Caenorhabditis elegans: one gene and its partners. The main gene of each other region encodes a partner of the protein of the gene in region 2 in a complex. Each region holds a gene or a part of one and is shown on either strand. Other genes may lie near its edges.

Region 1 (5,501 bases), on a different chromosome or scaffold from region 2:
TGCAAAAAATGAAAACTCACAAACTAACATCAACCTTCGGAGCGATTTCCTCACTTGAATTTGTTGCAAAACTTCTTACCAAAAGTCTCCAATTTCTCAACATTTTCTTTCTGGATAACCTTGAAATATGTTTAATCAATATATTCCTTATCGTAAGAAAATAAGCAATGTAAACCGACTAAACATGGTTTCGCAAGTGCGCCCCATTGTGAACACACTATTTTTCAAAGTAAATATTTAGTGGCAGAGAAAACCTGAGAAATTAATTCTGAATAGATGAACACAATATGAAAGAAAATGAAAAAACGTTCATTGATAGGAATGTGATTTTTACATTCAAAGATCAGAAGTGAGAAAATTAGTAAAATTCGACAAAGTGCAATTTAGACGATTAAATCATTTCGGTCTCCCATTTTTCCGACGAAACTAAACTGTTTGAAACTTCCCACACCTGAAAAACCATTAAATAGTTATGATTAATTTTTTGAAAATAATTCTTGCCTGTAATGCATTAAATTCGTCGCTGCTGCAAATAGTCCATGGGCGGTTGGGATTCCAAGAGAAATCTGCAACTTTTCCAGTATGCCCAGCGTGAATAAAAATAACTTCTGGTGGAACAGAATCAGATGATGCAGCTGATGAAGACGATGGGTCTTGAATTTTAGAAATATCCCAAACGATAACCCGACTGAAATTTTTGAAATTTCATAGGTTAAACAAATACAACTTATTAGGAAAAAACTTACTCATCCGATCCACTACTAGCCAGAACAGTTTCATAATGCGGGCTGAACGATACTTGAAATATTTCGTCGTTGTGATGTTTCAGCGTGTACATTTTTTTGCGCATATTCCTCATATCCCACAAAGCAACCGTTTTATCAACAGATCCGGTTGCTAAAATGTATTCGGAAAACGGATTGAAAGTAATACAATTAACTTCTGCAGTATGTCCGACGGCTGTGAGCTGTGGCTTTGATTGACGCAGATCCCATAGGTTTCTAAAGACGTGAAAATTATTTTGAAATCTCGACAGAATGGTATGATGTATTTATACTTACAGTTTTCTATCATCTCCAACAGATCCAAAAACGAAATTATGGAGCGCGTGAAAAGAAACATCCTCCGCATTTGATGAATGACCTTTAAACTTGCTTTGTGGCACTATTTGACCGGAAATGGTCTGATTCGCGTTTATATCCCAGTGGCAAATCTTAAAAAATGTATATTTATGTATATCTTTTGTTAGAAATACCATTCCGTCATCGCCGGCAGTTAGCAAATGTCCCTCTCTGGTGTTGCTCCACGACATTCCATATCCTTCGCCTTCATGGCCTTTCAATCGCAATTGAGGTCGAAATTTGGTGTCTTTTGGTTCAGATGGGTGCTTCGTGTAGTCGAAAATATAAACGTCATCAGAAGGACCTCGACTTGCAATAATGAAAGGATTATGTGGCATGTAACGTGCCCTATGAACTTCTCCTGGATGGTTGATTTTAATCTCAGTATCCCATTTTGCAGCGCTGCCCTCTCCATAACCTCCGAACTCTTCACGTTCCGAATCCCATTTAGCGTCGTCGAATTCTGGTGTGTCTGTCGTTATTGTGAACTTTGAGATCATGAGATGATTCTGAACTCCTCCACAAGTATGTGTTCCATGAATCATTCGATGCATCGATGAATCCGAGTTCTCTGTCTTAAAAAAATAATGAAGAAGGCGAAATCATATTTACCGATTCTTACTTTTGTGACATCAGGCATCCATTGCACTGATAAAGAAGGCCACTCGACCTCTTTTGTGACGACTGTATCGTAGAGATATGGAACATTTTTCTTCCAAATTCTATGTTCTTTACTCGTTTCTTCACACGATTCAGCTTCACTCATTGTGCTCTGAAATTGCCTGAAATAACAAAAGATACAACAAAAAACCAAAAATATCACAATCTGAGCTATCACAACAATCACGTTAACATAATATTTCAAAACAGTTATCTGACAATGGTCATCGAATTTATTTCAGGTTCAACAAAATATGATCATATCTCAAGGTAACATTTTAACTTTAAAAACTTAGTTGGTGAAGAATATGCGTTTGAATAAATGGTAAGATGAACAATTTGTTGAGATGCAAAATTAAAGAAGGATAGAAGTTAAATACAAATAATTTAAGCGCGTTTCACGTATTTTACTGTTGTCTCTCTACCACATCGGCTGGAGTTTCTTCGTCAACTTCGTTGTATATGTTATCAGCCATTTGCCACACTTGGAGAATATTGTCTTCTGACACACTGCACACAACCCAAGGCTCGTTCGGGTTCCACGAGAAATCGCTGATCTTGGCGGTGTGCCCACCGTGAATAAACAACAGCTCTGGTGGACCATCTTCCGCGTCTTCGGCAGATTGGTCTTCTCCAATCTTAGATAGGTCCCACACATGAAGACGTTTATCAGTACCGCTGGATGCAAGAATAGTCTCGTTGTGTGGACTCCACTGAACTTGGAAGATTTCATCACGATGTGATTCAAATGAGTGAAGTTTCATTCGTAGATTACGTAGATCCCAAAGAGCGACAGTTTTATCAGCTGATCCGGTGGCCAGAATGAATTCGGAATATGGATTGAATGCGAGACAGTTAACTTCGGCAGAATGAGCATCGATACAGTGTCCAGGAGTGCTTGTGCGCACATCCCAAATGAGCCTATAATTTTTAATTAGTTAATAAATAGAAAAAAAACAAAAGCTTACAATTTCTTATCGTCACCAACCGATCCGAAGACACCATCATGCAAAACGTGCCAAGCAACATCTTCAACGACTGACTCGTGACCTTTGAAAACATCCTTCGCTTGCAATTCCCCGGCAACATTCTGATTTGCGTTGATATCCCAATGACAAACTGTCTGATCATCTGACGCTGATAGAATCAAACCTTCTTTGTTTGGATTCCATGATAATCCATAGCCTTCCTTCGTGTGTCCTTTCAGTCTGATAAGCGGATTGAACGTGTTATCACGAGGAACAGCAGAGTGCTTTAAATAGTCGAAAATGTAAACATCAGCATGTGGAGACTTTGTAGCAATGATATTCGACTTTTGAGGCATGTAACGAGCTCTGTTAACCTCCCCTTCGTGGTTAATGCGAATATCGGGTTCCACTTTTCCGTTAACAGCTCCGAAACCACCGTATTCACTGCGCTCGGTATCGTAGCGAGATGCATCAAATTGGGCATCATCCGTTGGCATACAGATCTTAGAAATAAGCAAGTGATTCTGCTCATCTGAAGTATGAGTTCCAAGAATGAGCCGATGAATAGTATGGTCGCTGTTATCCTAAATTATTTGAATTCACTTCATGAAAGTTGTGAATTATATGAGAACACATACCTTCGCAACGTCTGGGAGCCATTGAACACTGAGTGAAGGCCACTCAAGCGCATGTGTCATTACGAGATCGTACAAGAACGGGGTGTTCTTTTTCCAAATTTTGTATTCATCATTTGCGACGCGATCTTCGGAGGTTCCATCTTCAAGAGTGGCCATTTCCTGAAATTTTCAATTTTTGCAAAGAATAATTATCGTTCAAACAGTGTAGTTAGATAAAATAATACAACAAAGAAGGGGTGAATAATAAAATATTAATTCAATTGAATTTAAATATATTAAAACAGAGAATTTTAATGCGGGAAAGTGACCAAAACTGTAGAAGACCGATAAAACCCACTTTCAAAGTGTGTGCGCGTCGCGGTTTTCGCGGGGAGGGGTCTCGCAACGATTTGCCTTCACCGCTGTTGCAAGGTACGGTAGAGCATGTTTGGCTCATTTGAATTCCGCTCAGAAAACTCATGCAGTTTTCTCCCTACTCGGGTATTATATATCATCAATTCTGGTTTAATTCTATCGATTTCTGTAGAATCATGATAGTTTGTGTTATTAAATAATTCCTACTCCGAAAGATCTTTCATCCTAATTTGCACAGGATTCTCGTGATTTTGAGCTTAAGATATGTTTTTTTCAGATGCAGGATGAAATCATCGATTTTTTCCGAAGTCCGGCTCTTCTTTTCTACATGACTTTAATGTTAACCATTTGTGTAGTAAGTTGTTGGTAATGATTTAGAAGATGAACTCTCCATATTTAGGTGAACGGGTCCCAGCAAGTTGGAGAAGTCGTAGAAACCGAGTTTCATGCGTACCGTCTTCATCAATACGAAATCAGTGGTAACATTTATGGATGCAAAAATTATCGCGTATCATATGAAGCTGTTTCCTTGGGTGCAAGAACTCTTCGCAGGTTTTTTTGGATATTTCATTTGTAAATAGTAATATTTTAATATCTAGAACTATGGTTACAACATGGCGAGATCTTCTTACAACAGATGTCGATGACATGTGGGCACTTTCTACCGGTGCCGTGCTTATTTTCATTCCCGACAATCTTGATGAACTTAACGATATTGATCGGAAGGTTAGCTTGAACATTTAATTTCATATTGCCATAAAAGTTATTTATGCTCATTATTCAGGCATTCATCGATCTTGAAGCAAAGTTGTTGAGCGCAAAGACCGACTTGGCTGTTTATGTGGCTCCTTTCAATGATGACGCCGTTTCTATTCTTCACGATGTCAATACTCGCTCGGAAAAAGCTCCCACAGCCCTGCAACATTTGCTTCAATCACTTTCCGGAAACACAATCAGTATCACTTCTTCCGATCAAAGTCCAGAACTTCCACCTTCATACAAACCACTGAATATTGTTGGTCGCTTGAGTAGTGGAGATCGTGCTGCACCTACGATTGCATTTGTGGCACACTATGACACACAATCGGCCGTTCCAGGAGTCTCGCCTGGCGCTGATTCCAATGGGTCTGGTATAGTTGCACTTCTCGAATTGCTTGCTGTTCTGTCAAAATTCTATGATTCTCCAAGCACACGTCCTCCATACAATATTTTGTTCATTTGGACAGCAGCTGGAAAGCTCAATTATCAAGGAACTCGTCACTGGATCGATGAGTACCAGAAAGGCTTTGACAGCGCTGATTATGCCAAATCTGGACTTTCTAGAAAAGGTAATGCAGTAAAAGGAGAGTGTCGTTTTACCGGTTTTGAAGGGTTTTCAGATGATCGTGTTGACTTGGCAATATGTATTGAGGCAATTGGTCGCAAAACGGGAGGATTTTTCATGCATGCTGGAAAGACACCATCAGAAAATTCAGTAGCAGCTCAACTTCTCAGAAGACTTAAGTACTGTTTTAAAAGTTTATTGATTTTAATCGTTCGTAAGATATTTCAGCAGCATTTCTCCAAAGAAGAATATAGAGTTGGTAACGAAAAAAATCTCTTTGACGACAGTAAGCGCTTGGGAACACGAGAAATTTAACATCAAGAGAATGCCAGCTATCACCCTGTCTACTCTTCCATCTCCATCTGATCCAGCTCGTAATTCAATTCTTGATCTCCCATCGGCTCTCGACGAAGATGAGCTTATTGATAATATTCGA
Region 2 (8,996 bases):
TTAATTAGCTAGATTTTAGACGTAATTTCTTTCAAATAGTACCTAGTATTAGGCAGCCGACAGGTCATGGGACCAAGCAGTACATTTTTCCGACTGCTAGACTTCATCCGACACTTACCTAGATTCAGAGAATTCAATTTTCACACAACTTGTTAAAATCTCTAGTTTACGAGCTTGTTTTTAACCAGACTTATGGATCCTGAGAATGGAGGGCCATGGAGCCTCCATGGAGGGGATGGCAGTTGGAGATACAATGATTTTGGAGTAATTTTACCTTCGTATTATTTTTCATGTGATTTCATTTTCAATTCACTTAGCCCCGTTTCCTAATGTTCAAGTTGCTATTTCCAATTTATTTTCCTTGGTCCACTTCATATTCCTTGGAATTTTTTCTGCATTCAAATTACCAAATAGCCACGTGCAATATCCCATTCTCTGCAGTTTTGAAATTTGAATTTATACAATAAACATGAGTTGTCAAATATTCAGTCTTAATCTGATATTAGTTCAAATATATTCCAAATCAATTCCAAATATATTCGAAATATATTTCAAATATATTCCAAATATATTTAAAATATATTCCAAATATATTCCAAATCTATTCCAAATATATTCCAAATATATTTCCTATTCTACTAATCTTTTTCTCAATTTCTGTGCGAAATTGTGTTATTATCGTACCAGGGAACAGAGATATGACCAAATCTGTACTCACTGTTCAGATTTTTTATAAAAATGGTGAAAAAAGGCTTTGGATAATTCCAAACATTCATTTGGCAGAAGCTGGAAGTTAATGAAACACACACCGCAGCTGTTAAAACTTATATAAATATATTTTCTGTTTCCAAAATTATAAACTTGTAAAATAAAACCGTTTCAAAACTTTCACGATCGAAAATATGATGCGTGCCAAAAGGACGTCAGAATATATTTGGAATATATTTGGAATATATTTGAAATATATTTGGAATACATTTGGAATAGATTTGGAATATATTTGGAATAGATTTGGAATATATTTGGAATATATTTGGAATATATTTGAAATATATTTGGAATATATCAGTTTCCGGTAATTTTTGTTTGTCCGCTAAGATACTTTGTCACCCAAAAGTTTGTTATCACGGAGAATTGATCAACTATGCTTGATTTATTGCTTTTATACCCCTTATGATCCTTTGAAGCTGAAGGATCAGATCATCAGGAGGTACCCATCTGATCCTTTGAAGCTGAAGGAACAGATCACCAGGAGGTACCCTTCTGATCCTTCGGAGCTGAAGGATCAGATCACCAGGAGGTACCCTTCTGATCCTTTGAAGCTGAATAATCAGATCATCAGGAGGGATCATTGTTCATACATTCAATTGTGAGTAGTCAAGGCCGAAAATCCATGGAAAATTGCATTTAAAAACTTATTCCAGTGAAAAAAAAACAAAAATCGATTGAGAAATATATATAAAAAACTAGTTGAAAAAGTTTGTCACCGAAGATACGCCCGGTCAGAGACAAATGGCACTTTGTCGACTGGATACCATGTCACTTTGGATACTTTGTCCCCAAAAATACCTTGCCACCCTAAAAGTTTGTCCCCTCGGAATGAAGGCCATTTTGATGCATCTCAATCATCTCCAGATTCTTTGCAAGAAGATCATTACTTGGTGCTGGAGGCGGAGACAGAGCAAGAGCTCTGCGTGGAGGGCGTCGTTCTTCTTTTGGCTGAAACTTGAAGACATGACAACAATAACGTCGCGTATTGCACTTTTTTGAGAACAAAAAATCCACATTTCATCTGGAAAATATTTTTTGAAAAACAGTAAAGAAGAAAAAGAAGGAAATAGAAAACCATTGGAACACGAATAAAATGTGAAAAATAAAATCATTTCCCCGTTTCATTGAAGCAAAAGTATTATGTAACAGAGTTAAAAAGTGATGGGAAAGTTTGGCGAACTAGTATTGACTAGTAGTATAATAGTGTTACAAGCATAAAGTTCAAAACAAAAGATGAAAATTTAAGTAAAAAAAAATTCTATTTAATGTACATGGAACTTTTGATGTTTATTTCTCTGCGAGCTTCTCAAAAGTCGCAGGACAGGAGTTTTCGGCTCTTCCACGTGTGGTGAAGGTGTTCGTTGAGGCGTTCCTCTAATTTGCACAACAGCTTTGGCAGGCGGTGCCAGAAAACAGAAGCGGGCATTTGTCGATTTTGCGATCGGTATCTCAGAATCCATTGTTCCTTATTTTATAGAGTTTCTATGTGCATGAACGGATTTCAACGAAAGATAGGTATGATGGCAACACGAGCACACCGTCGGTTGAGTGATGTGATGCACATTTCTCATGTGCTTCCTCACATCATCGGCTCGAGTCATCACAATTTGGCACATCAGGCATTCCTGTGGTGTCATATGATACTTCAATCGATGATGGTTTAGTGCCGCCAAGTCCTTGAGCTTAGAACTGCAGACATTATGCAACATTTCTTCCATATTCTCCACTTCGACGTCTTCTCCATCTGGTTTTGAATCGATTTCCATCACAAAGAGATTTTTGAATCCTTCGACCAGTGTTGGAAATTTAGTGAATTCCTGGCTGAAGGCATCCGAGATTTTGTGGGCGGTATCGGTGGACACGATTAGAACACTCTCACGGACTTTTGAGAGTTGCGTTGCTAATGAGCAACTGCCTGTCGTCTTTCCGACACCTTTTCAGGCTACAAAAATCCGTTTTAGCGTTTTTTGTTCGAGAATATTCTCGATAGAGGCTTCCAACTGATCTACCATGCTGAAAAAAGTATTTATTGTATTTGAAAAAATAATCAAATTGATTTTGGAGCAATACCAGAGAAATGGAGAAATACGGAGAGAAGCAAATAGATTTTTTGTTAATTTTTGCAGCTAAATATAAGAATGATATCAATGTACTTGAAACATTCAAAAATTTCATAAAAGATTAACAGAAATTTTTTAAATTTTAACTATTTTTTCAAATTTTTTAAACAGTTTTAAATGTATTTTTGTCGGTTTTCAGTGAAATTTTTGTTAAAAAATAAGAAAATTAAGAAAAAAAGCTAAAAATGACTTTTAAAAAAATTGAAATTCGTTTTTTGGCGCAAAAAGTTAAAGGGACATGAGATTTCGTAGGGAGCGGGTCTCGCCACGATTCCTCCTATTTTTATTTTTACTTTCAAACGAAACAACGAAGCTCCGAAATAACGCATTCGTGATAAATTTAATAAAGAAATTAGCAGCAAAACAGCAAAAAATGCGAATGGAATTCAAATACGAAGCAAGGCGCGCAACACACTATAAAAATTGATCAAAATTACGCAGCAAAGACAGTTTAAAACTACAGTAATCTTTGAAGGCGCACATCCGTTTGTATTTAACAGACATTTGTCGTGACCAGTTACCGTACTTTTAGCGCTCACTTTTGTGTCCGGGCTAATATCTTCTCACCGCTGGCAAACATAATAAAATGAAAATTCACCTGAAACTTTAAAATTTTATTTATTTTCTAGACAGTCAGTAAAATAAAAAATAGTGGAGTATAACTGACAAGGGTTTCGTTATTTGGCTCGTTTTTCTCGAAAACTGATGATGATGATGATGACAATGAGGAAGAAAATAGAATTTTGGCACATTCGAATTATCAAGGTTGAACTACTTTTAAAAAATAAGAAAAATGGGGATGTGTCTCATGATCGGGTACAATTTTGAAAAGACACAAAGTGATTGAAGAAGGTGGGGAGAGAGAGAGAGCAGAGATGAGAGAACTGAGAATATTCAGAAAAACAAAAACTGACGGGACCGGTTGGCGTTTTTTTGGACAAAATGAGACGCTTTTAGTTATTTTCTGTTCGATACAGTTCCAGCTAGTGCTCCACTTTCGAGCATAATTGTGTGAAATTGTTTCATATGAACTTCAACGTAGTCTTGGAAGAATGCCACGTTGCGGGGGTGAATAGCGGTCCGAATTTCAGATATGGCGTCACCAAGTGATTGAAGATCAACTGCAGAGATCTTTTGAGTTCCCATTGTGCGAACCTGGAAAAATATAATATTTTTTCTAATATTTTTCTGCAGTAAAAAAATTTTTTAATAGTGTTTTACCGATGACCAGGTAATTTTGAATTCTAGGAAACAATTTTAGTTTTTTTTTTGTAAAATAGTAATTTGTAATTAATTCTAATGGGACGATGCAAGTGAACACGTGTATTCAGCTCGACCAACGCCTCGAAAATTTTCAAAAAAGGCGGGAAAAAATATTTGAATTCGCCAAGAGGAATTTCACCGCAGCGCGTGACGGTGTTTGCACAAATTACACCGAATGGTCGAGCTGAAAACACGTGGTGAATTTCTCGTAATTTCTCGACACATTTTTTGCAATGCAAGTGCGCGGAGAAATGACGAGAAATGTCGTGAAATTTGCAATTTCTCCGCATTTCTCGACATATGATGAACGGTGAGATACGCAGAAACATGTGTCCCCGCAGGAAACTCCGCCTACTCACCGCACTTTTAACAGGGTGAAATGTCTTACCACCCTGCGAGGACACATCTCATATGTCGAGAAACGCGTAGAAATTGCGAATTTCACGACATTTCTCGTCATTTCTCCGCACACTTGCATTGCAAAAAATGTGTCGAGAAATGACGAGAAATTCACTTGCATCGTCCCATAATGAAATTAGGAAAGAGGATTTGGTAAAAACCGAAGTTTATTTTCTAATGAATTTTTACATTTTCAATTTTTTTTTTCATTAATAAATTATTATTCTGCAGTCTATAGTGCCACAAACCTGTAAAAGGACAGCTGTCAATGATTGAATAAGTGTCAACGCATGCACATTCTCTACATTTAATCCTTGATTACAGTGCTCTACAAATCTTCCAGCTTGTTGAGAGCACATTTGTCTAACTGCTTCAGGTTTCATATTTGACGTTGAAATCTGCAAACAAATAGATCTTTCGAAGAATCAGGAAATGAAAAATTACATCATTCGAAGAGAAATACATATGGTGATCTTGAATTCCATTCATATTGATATCTATATTCTGATTCACATGTTCCAGATCGATGATAGTTTTGGCGTATTTCTCCTGAAAAAAAATTGTTTTTTAGATTCTATCTAGTTGACTTTTTCATATATCAAAAAAAATTTCTAATTAAAAATGTACCTGAAAAGCTTTCGAATATTTGTCTGACGTCATATTTTGTATCTCGGCATCCGCATTCAATTCGTTCAATTGTCGTATCAATCCCTTTTTGATATCAATTAATTTCGTCAGTTTCACAAGATTCACAAGGAATTTCAGCGGGAAATTTCCAACCATTTCTGCATTTTTTCCATTTAATCGTTCGTCGTTCGGTCCCATTAATGGTCCACCACTTCTCTCGATTTTTCGAGAAACCAGGACGTCACGAACAAGATGTGGATGTGATGAGTCACGAACTGCTGCTACAAATGGACGAACGCCTGATGGAAGCTTAGAGTTGGCTTGTTCAATGAAGTAGGCGATACTCAACAAATCAAGTTTTCCGTCGAGAAGTATTTCCGTGTCACTAACCAGTGTTGGTGGGATATCTGGCTGAAAGAATAAAACATTGGAATTTATAGAATTTCAAATATTCAAATTTCCCTAAAACAAAATAATTTATGATCCAAAACTACCGAATATAGTAATAGGACGTCTTAATTTCCAAAGACTTCCTATTTTCAGCTAAATCATTAAATTTTGTCAATTTCTCCTAACACTTTTTATTGCATATTTTGGTAGTAATTCGATGATTTGAGCACATTTTAAGTCGATAAGAATCCTACTTTGATATTTTTGGTGTCTATCGACTTAAAGTGATCCTAAATCATAGAATTAAAGCGAAATAAACCACTAAAATATGCAATAACTGTTGAAAATGCAATAAGAATTGCATTCCAGCATGTACAAAATGGACAAGTTGGCGAAGTTCACGAATTTAGCTGAAAATAGGTTTGTGGCGAAATTTTAAGACATCTCGTTACAAAATTCGGGCGTTTTGGGTGATATTGAGTCTCCTTTTACAAACCTTGTCAAAAATAATTCTGAATCCTTTCGGAATGACAGCATCAATAATTCCAGAATAAATTCCATCGTAGGGATTTCGAATTCTCGCAAATACACGATTTCCAACCACCATTGGACGTGGAAGCTTGGCTGGAAGATCTTTTAGATCAATCGATGGATCCTGAAAGAACATTTATTGAAAATGATACACCTCTTCAGCCTTACGTTAAGATAACTTCCTTCATAGACACTTCGAATCTTCATTCTTTTCTCTTCCAGGTACATTCTTTCTTCTTCAAAAAACACTTTCGAGCATCTACGTGGCTTTCCGAGAAGTTTTCGAATCGACCGCCACTCAATACGCGTTAAATTCCAATTTTTCAGATTTGGGAAAGATTCGCGGATAATTGTGGCAAACTCGTTTTCTTCTTTGAAAATTTGTTCGTCGATTGCAGAATAGAAGAACTCGCACATGACCCATTGACGAGCTTTCTTATATCGGAGCAAATTGTAGAGTTTCTTTATATTAGCTCTCATAAATGTGCTCACATCTTCACTTGTTTGATTTTTATACGTTTTGAATTGTTTCATCATGGCACTTCGTTCTTGATCTGTACTGAACATGTTGAAGAATGACTGTGTATCTCGATGTTCTACAGCTTCATTTGTCATATTCGCAGGATTATCTAAATCATCAAGACCTGCTACAAGGTTTTGATGCATCTCAATCATCTCCAGATCCTTTGCGAGAAGATCATTACTTGGTGCTGGAGGCGGAGACAGAGCAAGAGCTCTGCGTGGAGGGCGTCGTTCTTCTTTTGGCTGGAACTTGGAGACATGACAACAATACAATTGTTTTAAAACTTACAATATATTCCAAAGCACAACTGGAAGATTCATAATCAAGAGCTGCCTTTGCGAGCATTGTTAGACTTGAGTTTCGGGTCAATGAGTTCACTGAAGGAGAATCTCTACCTCCATTCAGGCGTTTCGCGGGAGATCTGTAAAATCATAAGATTAGTCGGCCACTTTTTCGGAACAGCTTGTTACTTTTTGGGAGATCCGGTACGTTTGATACTGCGAGACGGTGATAGGTATAGTTCTTCATTACGATATCTCGATGGAACTTTAGATGTTTCACGGAGACTGTATGGTGAGCTGGTGCGATCCTGAAAATACCGAATGTCATGCATACTTTCAATATCTTTCTTTAATTTACAACTTCTTTATTTTTAAAAACACGAAAACCCAATAAAATCAATATTTCCAATAACTTACAGGATCAGACGTGTCACTTGCTGCCTTTTTCCGCGGACTTCTCACCGCAGACGACATTTTTATCTGAAAAATAACAAATTTTTGAATAATTTCAGACCACGAGACAAAAATCAATGAAAGAATGCGGACGCGCGCGCGCGAAAAAAACTTTGAAATGGCGGTTCTTTTCCCCAACCAACAGCCGATTTCAAACAGCGTGATGGTCTCGACGCGATTGCCCTGCGGCAGTGTAGCGAGGTACGGTGGAGCGCTGTCTGTTGGAAAACAGAACACAGCTGAGAGAAGTGAATGTGGTGGGAAACGGAAAAAAGGGAGAGCTGCTGTTTGACAGTCGAACGTCGTGACATTCCGTTTTTGGATTTTCTCGTGAAAGTTTTTTTTTTTTTTTTATTTGTTTTATTTCTTATTTGTATTGATTTTCCATCTTTCCTGGGTTATCATTAAATTTTAAACATGGTTTTACACAAGATCATGCGGTGAAACATGTTTTTTTCTTCCTTTCCGCATTTAAAACGAATTATTTTGTTTATATTGTTCTTCTCTTTCCATTCTCATGATTCATTTCTCTCCTTATTGGCAAGAAACATTATAAAATTGTTCATTCCTACTAAGTGTTTACCAAAATTTATTTTGGCCGCAAAGTTTTAAAATTGTAGAATAAACTTTTCATTAAAAATATTTCGTCTTCAATCACTCATCTTTGTTCCGAAAACATCTCACAGGTTTTTTCTTCAAAGCAATATTCTTCTTTAGTGTTTTTAGTCAGCGTTTTTCGTTCTGGATCTGGATTCTATGGTTTGATGTTACTTTGAAACACTATTTATAAAATCTTTTTGCAAAGAAACAATTCTCTTAAATTTAATACAATTTCCGCATCAAAATTGAAGTTTTTGTGCAAAGTTGACCTCTCGCAGCGTAATCTTATCGTTTTTTCGCGTTATCACCACTCAATCTCCCCCACTGCTCTACAATTATTTCATTTCTCTCAACCTTTTGATCGAATCGATTGAATTTCATAATATCCACGAAATGTGAGTCGCCCAATGTTTACGTTTCTCCATCCTATAACACTGCTTACAAATGGTTTCAGTGTTCAAACATTGCGGTGAATGAGGCAGACAATCAGACATTTTCTTTCTTTTAAAACCTGTCCTGTTCATTTCTTCCTCATCTCCTTTAGGTTTTCTTATTCGCCATCTGAAAGTTTATTTCTCTGCGTCTAGCTATTAGATCCTGGAGAATTACGCTCTAATGTCGATGACGTGTCGGCTGATCGATTAGATTGCGCAAATTGTTTCTTTAGTTTTTTCTAGATTTCTCTCCCTTTTTTCATGATATTCCAATGGAGCACGTTTGAGCGCATGCTCTCTTCTTGCTCAGTGCTGCTCCGTATCGATCCCTCTCCGTCAATATCTGGTCTTCGGTCCTGAGGCCTTCGCTCCTAGCCTCGTGCTTTTCTTAAATGTTTTCTCTCGAAAGAAGCGTTTTTGATTTTTTTTTCCTTCTTATTTTTGAAATCTTCATATTATTTCATGGAAATTCTTACAGAATCAACTAGAATGGGTGATTACGTGACTCCCGGCGAGGAGCCACCACAACCGGGCATCTATCGAAGTGAGCAGATGTGCCTGGCTCAACTCTACCTTCAATCTGATGCTTCCTATCAATGCGTTG
Region 3 (6,319 bases), on a different chromosome or scaffold from region 2:
TTAGGCACACTTGTGTTCACTATGTGTGCTACTTGAATTATTCAGTTTTTACATTATATAGTAGTGGTTTGTTTTGAAAAAACCCCTTCCCCGCATTCGTTGACTACTCAATTAACCTCAAGAGAAACCCGTTGAACCGCGTGGTTGTACGTTTCCCATGCACCAGTAACAATGTCATTTGGTAAATTAGCTGCTCGACATCCTTCCAGAAATGATTGTGATGGTGGCGGTGTCTGAAAAGTTTAAAATTCTTTTTTATACTTTAATTTGAGCAATCAGGGGCAAAAAGGGGGTTTTTTTTTCATTTTTTCGTTTAATAAAAATACTTTTTTCTGATTATGATATTAACTTTTCAGGTTGACATTGATATAATTTTTAGAAAATCTTAGTCCTAGACTTCCTTTTTCAAGTGTTGATGAAAATTAAAATTATCCGCATCATTTTCCGTATAATTTTAAATATTATGTTGTAAAACTAGAAGAAACATAGTATTACATTAGTTTTATCAATAAAACTATCAGCATCATCCTCCTCATAATCATCATCTTCTCCCAATGCAGGTGGCATTGATGTTCTGGAATCTTCATCTTGTTCTTCGTCTTCTTCTTCTCGTCTAGCTTCATTTATGTTTCCTTCTGTTTCTTGTTTGATTGTCATTTGAGTCAATTCGGATTCATTTTTAATCAGCCCTCCACTTTGCACTCCACCATTGAATTCTGAAAACAGTTATCATTTAATATTTCATGTCATCTAGGTTGACTGTGATAAGAACATTTCTTATTGCTTGTGCTACCTTTTTATGAAAATGTTTCGAAGTTTGATTTATGAAAAACGTTTAATTTTTATTATCAATGAATTTTTAAACATATTTATTATATTTTGAAAAAAAATTAAATTAAATTAAAATTGATACTGTTAACAAGTACGATTGATCCATCTTGAAATATTTTCTGAAATGCCAAACCAATTTTCTGATTTTTTATATCAACGTTTACCAATTTAATTTTGTTAGATTTTTTGTTAAATATATCTTAAACGGAGAAGCACCATTTTAAATTTTCAACAAAAAATCCTATAATTTTGTGTACTCTTAATACTAATTGATATTTCATAAACCTTCTGAAACTAGGCAAATTCTCTCGTGAACAAAACCACTGATTTGTCTTGAAATTTGATACTTTTCCCATAGGTGCATATCGAAAAGAAAAAACCCAAAAGAGTGGATACCAGCTATATTTGAATTTATTGATGTGCATAGTAATAATATTACATTGAATTCATTGTCCCGCACACATATAAGCCCATAAATTGTGATATTTTTCGACGGAGAACACGAATTTCCGTTTTTTTCCCACTTTTATGGGTTTTCTATATTTTCTTTTTCCTCTTTCATAGTTTCTTCATAGTGAGACCTACACAACTGGAAACACTCAATGATTTACAATATTAAAGGAAATTTATCCAGATGGCAATGAATTGACCCAAGGATGTCAGTTTTTAAATTAATGAAAAAAATTTCAATTTTTTCAATTTTAAAGTAATTTCCAATAATTTTTAAAGAACGAATTGAATCCATTATATTTTTCCAATTAAAACAAATTCGATAAGTCACCAATTTTTTTTCGGTATTTCTATAGAAATACAATTGTATAAATATCATAAAAACCAAAAAAAAATTTCGAAATTTTTAACTTTAAATCGCGAGAAAAATAAAATCCAATTTTTTTTTGTTTTTGGTACGAAATTTGAACAAGAAATTTTTTGTTTTTTTTTGTCAAAAATATTTTTTGGCATCCTTGATTCTCAACTTATCCATATTTAATTGTGACAAATCAAGTAACGACGAAACTAAGCTGCCAAAATTGTTCTAGTTTCTTCCAACGTTCTTATCATTCTTTATTTCTCCACATACTCTCAGCTGATTCTAGTGCTCTTCTCTATTTTCAACGTCCCTCTCTCTATCTCCCAATGCCCTCATTTCTACAGTTTCATGCAATATTTACTCAACCGACACATGAAGAATTGAAAGGGGGAGAAAAAGAGAATCATATTGTCGTGACATCGACCATATCAGTCGTATGTCACCTCCCCGACTCTGCTTCTCCTTTTCTTTTCTCTCGTAGAGGTCTCTTGTTGGCACACTCAGACACACACAAATGCATTTATAAACCATATAAGCCAAGAAAATTGTATTGATTCCAGAAGAACCATGACAACCGAGTCTTCTCAAACGACGGATCCGTATCAGCACCCGCAACAACGGGCTGAACCACATCAGCCAACACAGCGGATAGCTGCTGAACCGGAGCCAAGGGTATTTTGTGGACTTCCAATTGGTGTAAGTTCAGAAATTTTGAATCTCAGCAAGGATTGAACATTTTTCAGGGAGCTGTTGGAATTCTCGGATCCATTCTCATGATATGTCAAATATTCGGACTTTTGTATCCATCTCCATTTGTGCTCTACGTTTTCGAGATTTCTATTGGAAGCGCCATGATGTTTGTTCTATCAACTGGTGCAAAGCGTAGAAAAATTGCCTATATCACTGCTTACATGTTATATCTAGTACGTTTTAAATATAACTCACAAGATTCGATGTTCCTAGTCAATTATGGAAGCATCAATATTCTCGTTAATATACACTTTGAGAAATAATTATCAATTTCAGTCAATGTACACATTTTGGGTGTTTTTCTTGATCCTGGGAGCAGTTATTGCATGTATTTATTTATCGGATAACAATGATAACATTTGCAATCCAGGTTAGTTTCAATACAATTTTCCGGAATAAAGAAACTGATTTGAAGATAACCAAAAGGATGTAACCACTGCGAAGGGATGTGTTCCAAAAATGACAACTGGAGAATTAGAAATGGTTATAATCTCATGTTTCTTCCTAACTGTTAGTATTATTGTTGCACTCGTCCAAATGCGATATATGATGATTCTCTACAACTTCCTCAGAAGAAATGCATACAGATTGTGAGTCCATTATTTCAATTATGAATATTCATTCAATGGTTCAGACCTCAACATCAGGCGTCAAATTACAATGTTCAATACATTGTACCAACACCAATGAGTCCCAGTGGTATGCCACCACCACCAAGATATACCGCCTACGCCCCACCAATGTCAAGTCAAACTGCTCCTCCGATTCCTACAAAACAACAACCTGTTGATAGCGAGAGTTCGACGACGTCGGCATCAACGAGGAGTGGTTCTTTCGTATCGACACCGATTTTGACAGTTGCCAATGTGAGTTTTGAAAATTTTTTGAAGCTTTATGAAATCCGTTTCAACGACTATTCATTAATCAATAATATAAAACTAAGCTATTCTTTCTATATTATAAGCTGCATTAGATAAATACGTCTTAATGCGATTATAATTAACTTCAAATAACCCGCTAAATTTTGTTACGGAGCGCTTGTAGTCGAAAAAGTAATACTAATATCAGAAAAATGGTTATTATTGGGAAACCTCCGATTTCCAGCAAATTCGAGCCAGAATGAGCTCTAAAATTCTTTCCCTATGACATCACTAAAACTCTGTAACAATTTCAGAGTGAACCAACAGGAGCTGACAATTCGGCGTTTACAAATGATGAAGATCCAACCCGACCACGTGCAACTTCTCGGCCGCCTGCATATAGTGACGTGGTTGAACCAGGACATATAACAGTCCGAAGTGACGTTCTTCAATAGATTTCACTCTGTCTTCTATGTATATTTTGACATTTGCTCGTGGTTGTGTGCAATAATAAAAATGTTGCTTGATTGGTAGCTATTGTTGTTAGTGACCTCTTAACTAGTCAGGTGACTGAGCGCTTGATAACTTCATAATTTCCTATATAAGTAGGAGATGATAGCGAGTTGTGATAAAGGTGATAATGAACTGGGGAATATCTATCTTCATAGAGAAAATTATTGGAAAAACGAAGGATGCTCTTAATATGTAAAACAAAGCAGTCATTTAGATTATCACATGAGGCTGCAAACCCTTGTTTTTGTTTAATATTTTTGAAAAGGAGAAAATAATCAGATTTAATATTTATAAAACCCCATACCTTGCTTTATATCTAAGTCGATTCGTTTTGCTGGTGGCTCTTCACATATTGTATCCGTTGTCTCCGTGCCGGCTAACACGGCATCGAATGGGCTTTCTGAAAATAAATCAATTAATATCTAAATTTATTTGCGGTAATTTGAGGCTGAGTTCTAAAAAATTTCTCTCCCTGATGGAAAGGCAAGTAAAATCTTGAACGCTGTTTAAAAAATTTCGAAAAAATCGAACCCTGCGCAAATTGCATTAATCAGTTTTTCTATTCACTGCGGCGGAGAAACTAGCTTTGATAACGCCTCACTTTCCAGACAAGTATAATTATACGCTTTGAATAAAATCATTTAAAGCTTACGCTCGTGAAATGGGTCAGTTGTTGATGTTCCAGGCTCATCGGCTGCTCGTTTCGGCATATTGAAGAAGTTTTTACCAGTCTGAAGAATATTTTTGTGTTTTTTATTCGATTAAACCCAAGAAAGTTCAGATAAAATGTAATCGAAATCGTTTAAAATTAGAGAAAGCAAAATAATTTTCAAGAACGCGCTCATTTTTTTCTAGTCGCGCGCGCAATGATGTTCCACAATTCGCAATAGAGCGCATTTGTGCACGTCCTGGAGACACCATCGATTTTGAGAAACTGAATAGGAAGAAGAGGATACTTCAGAACTTTCTAAAACTGAAGCATTAAATGTGATTAAAAATTGTGAATGTGAGAGAAATCGAGTTTGCAATTCAGAAAATGTATGTTCCAGTTGAACACATCTTACCTTCTACTTATTTTTTCGGCAACCAGCATTTCCCCCAAATTTCGTTCCCTTTGTATTGATGGTGTCTCAAATCTGTTTTTTTTCATTCTCGAGTTTTCCTGAATTTTCTTTAATTTTTCAGTATTGAATGTAAAATGTCTAGTGTTTTGGACGTCACAAAGCCGGATTTTGATGTCGAAGCATTTGTCGTCAAGTTAGTTTTCAGAGATATGCACTGATAAATATTATTAATTCAGATTACTCCGTGAAAAGTCGCTTGATGGATTAGTAAAAGAAGAGGAGGAGATGGTTTCAGCTGTGAGAAGGCTTGATTCAGATGTACATCAAATAGTCTACGAAAATTACAATAAATTTCTGACTGCGACAAATACGGTTCGAAAAATACAAGATGAATTCACGCAACTCGATTCTGTTAGTTTTCGAATAATAATAAAATCAGACAATTTTAATGTTAATTTTCAGGAAATGAAATCTCTCAGCCGAAGTATGTCGACAATATCGACTCTAATTGGGAATCTTGACGGAGTTTTGGGCGAAAAACGTGACGATATTCTACAATTGGGAAGCTCGTATAAAGTTGTGAATAGTTTGAAGCATATTTTCGATCTTCCTCATGTTCTGCGGGTAACATTTTTAATTTTAAAACTTTTTTTTCATATTGCATCAAACTAAACAACTTCCAGAGTGAATTCGATGAGCGAAACTATGGAGAAGTTCTTCGAATGTTCAAATTAGCAGAAGAGTCACTATCGCAGTATAAAGACGTTCCAACAGTTCAATTAGTTCTTCAAAAAAGTAAGAAAATTTATGATATGACGGAAAATCAATTAATGGATCAACTGCGAAATCCGGCTTCTGGTGCAGAATTAGTATCAGAAGCTGTAGATTTATTATTAACAATTGGAAGAGATGAAGATGAAGTTCAGAAAGTGTTGCTCACGTGTTCAGAACAATCTTTAAGAGTAGATTTGAAAGAATTATCAGCAAATCATTCGGATGTTTTGGATCTCGTTGATAAAGCTTCTGAGAGTTTTATTCCAAATCTCACTCTGATTGCAACAACTCATGATCGATTATTTGAGGATAAACGAGAAGATCTTATTACGGTTTTGAAGGTTTGTTAATTTAAAAACGATTTGGATTAAATTAAAGTTTTTTTACAGACGGAAATGAATTCTCTGCATGCTTTGGTTTCAAAAGTTTTTCTATCATCAAGTGATGCAAAAGACTGTTCAATTGTCGTCCGGGCTCTTGATAGATATTTTCGAAAAATCTCAACCTGCCGCTATGTGATTCCTGGACTTGACTTTCTTCCATTAACTATCGAACTAATCAATGCAGTATCAAAACACGAGATTGATTTATCATTGACAAGAATAAAAGAAGAACTCAAAAATGGTTTGAATGAAGTTCGAAAAGCATTAATTAATGAAGAAAAGGATTTATCCGCTTTAGCAAGCAAAATTGAACAAGTTTTTGTTCACCAAGTC

Evidence for each region.
Region 1: lin-9 (region 2) and lin-53 share a complex: the UniProt entries of both Caenorhabditis elegans proteins name them as parts of the DRM complex.
Region 3: lin-9 (region 2) and lin-35 share a complex: the UniProt entries of both Caenorhabditis elegans proteins name them as parts of the DRM complex.

Annotation. Positions count from the first base shown.
Region 1 is NC_003279.8:9,616,215-9,621,715, forward strand, and holds lin-53 (putative histone-binding protein lin-53), read right to left. Parts: upstream 3,547-5,501; 5' UTR 3,544-3,546; coding exon 3,388-3,543; intron 3,334-3,387; coding exon 2,750-3,333; intron 2,703-2,749; coding exon 2,189-2,702; 3' UTR 1,997-2,188; downstream 1-1,996. Other genes in the region: K07A1.10 (Large ribosomal subunit protein mL64), read right to left, coding at 21-103; putative histone-binding protein rba-1, read right to left, coding at 392-451, 502-688, 747-1,001, 1,062-1,213, 1,256-1,696, 1,744-1,887; nra-2 (Nicalin), read left to right, coding at 4,019-4,096, 4,142-4,293, 4,341-4,467, 4,526-5,069, 5,112-5,244, 5,285-5,501. UniProt on the Caenorhabditis elegans protein: Core histone-binding subunit that may target chromatin assembly factors, chromatin remodeling factors and histone deacetylases to their histone substrates in a manner that is regulated by nucleosomal DNA.
Region 2 is NC_003281.10:8,896,747-8,905,742, forward strand, and holds lin-9 (Protein lin-9), read right to left. Parts: upstream 7,386-8,996; 5' UTR 7,380-7,385; coding exon 7,323-7,379; intron 7,214-7,322; coding exon 7,095-7,213; intron 7,046-7,094; coding exon 6,913-7,045; intron 6,873-6,912; coding exon 6,270-6,872; intron 6,226-6,269; coding exon 6,067-6,225; intron 5,592-6,066; coding exon 5,181-5,591; intron 5,103-5,180; coding exon 4,998-5,102; intron 4,952-4,997; coding exon 4,802-4,951; intron 4,047-4,801; coding exon 3,849-4,046; 3' UTR 3,492-3,848; downstream 1-3,491. Other genes in the region: unc-32 (V-type proton ATPase 116 kDa subunit a 1), read left to right, coding at 8,882-8,996. UniProt on the Caenorhabditis elegans protein: Synthetic multivulva class B (synMuvB) protein. SynMuvB proteins are required to repress the induction of vulval development by Ras signaling and probably act by forming the multiprotein DRM complex that represses transcription.
Region 3 is NC_003279.8:5,805,886-5,812,204, reverse strand, and holds the start of lin-35 (Retinoblastoma-like protein homolog lin-35), read right to left. Parts: upstream 4,497-6,319; 5' UTR 4,476-4,496; coding exon 4,418-4,475; intron 4,166-4,417; coding exon 4,070-4,165; intron 3,785-4,069; exon of another isoform or gene 3,708-3,784; coding exon of another isoform or gene 3,567-3,707; intron 3,259-3,566; coding exon of another isoform or gene 3,027-3,258; intron 2,983-3,026; coding exon of another isoform or gene 2,808-2,982; intron 2,763-2,807; coding exon of another isoform or gene 2,669-2,762; intron 2,566-2,668; coding exon of another isoform or gene 2,386-2,565; intron 2,339-2,385; coding exon of another isoform or gene 2,210-2,338; exon of another isoform or gene 2,203-2,209; intron 717-2,202; coding exon 496-716; intron 234-495; coding exon 117-233; intron 1-116. Other genes in the region: C32F10.4 (uncharacterized protein), read left to right, coding at 2,210-2,338, 2,386-2,565, 2,669-2,762, 2,808-2,982, 3,027-3,258, 3,567-3,707; vps-51 (Vacuolar protein sorting-associated protein 51 homolog), read left to right, coding at 4,964-5,022, 5,066-5,240, 5,292-5,453, 5,513-5,944, 5,993-6,319. UniProt on the Caenorhabditis elegans protein: Key regulator of cell division which acts as a transcriptional repressor and negatively regulates cell cycle progression in its active unphosphorylated form, but allows cell cycle progression when phosphorylated.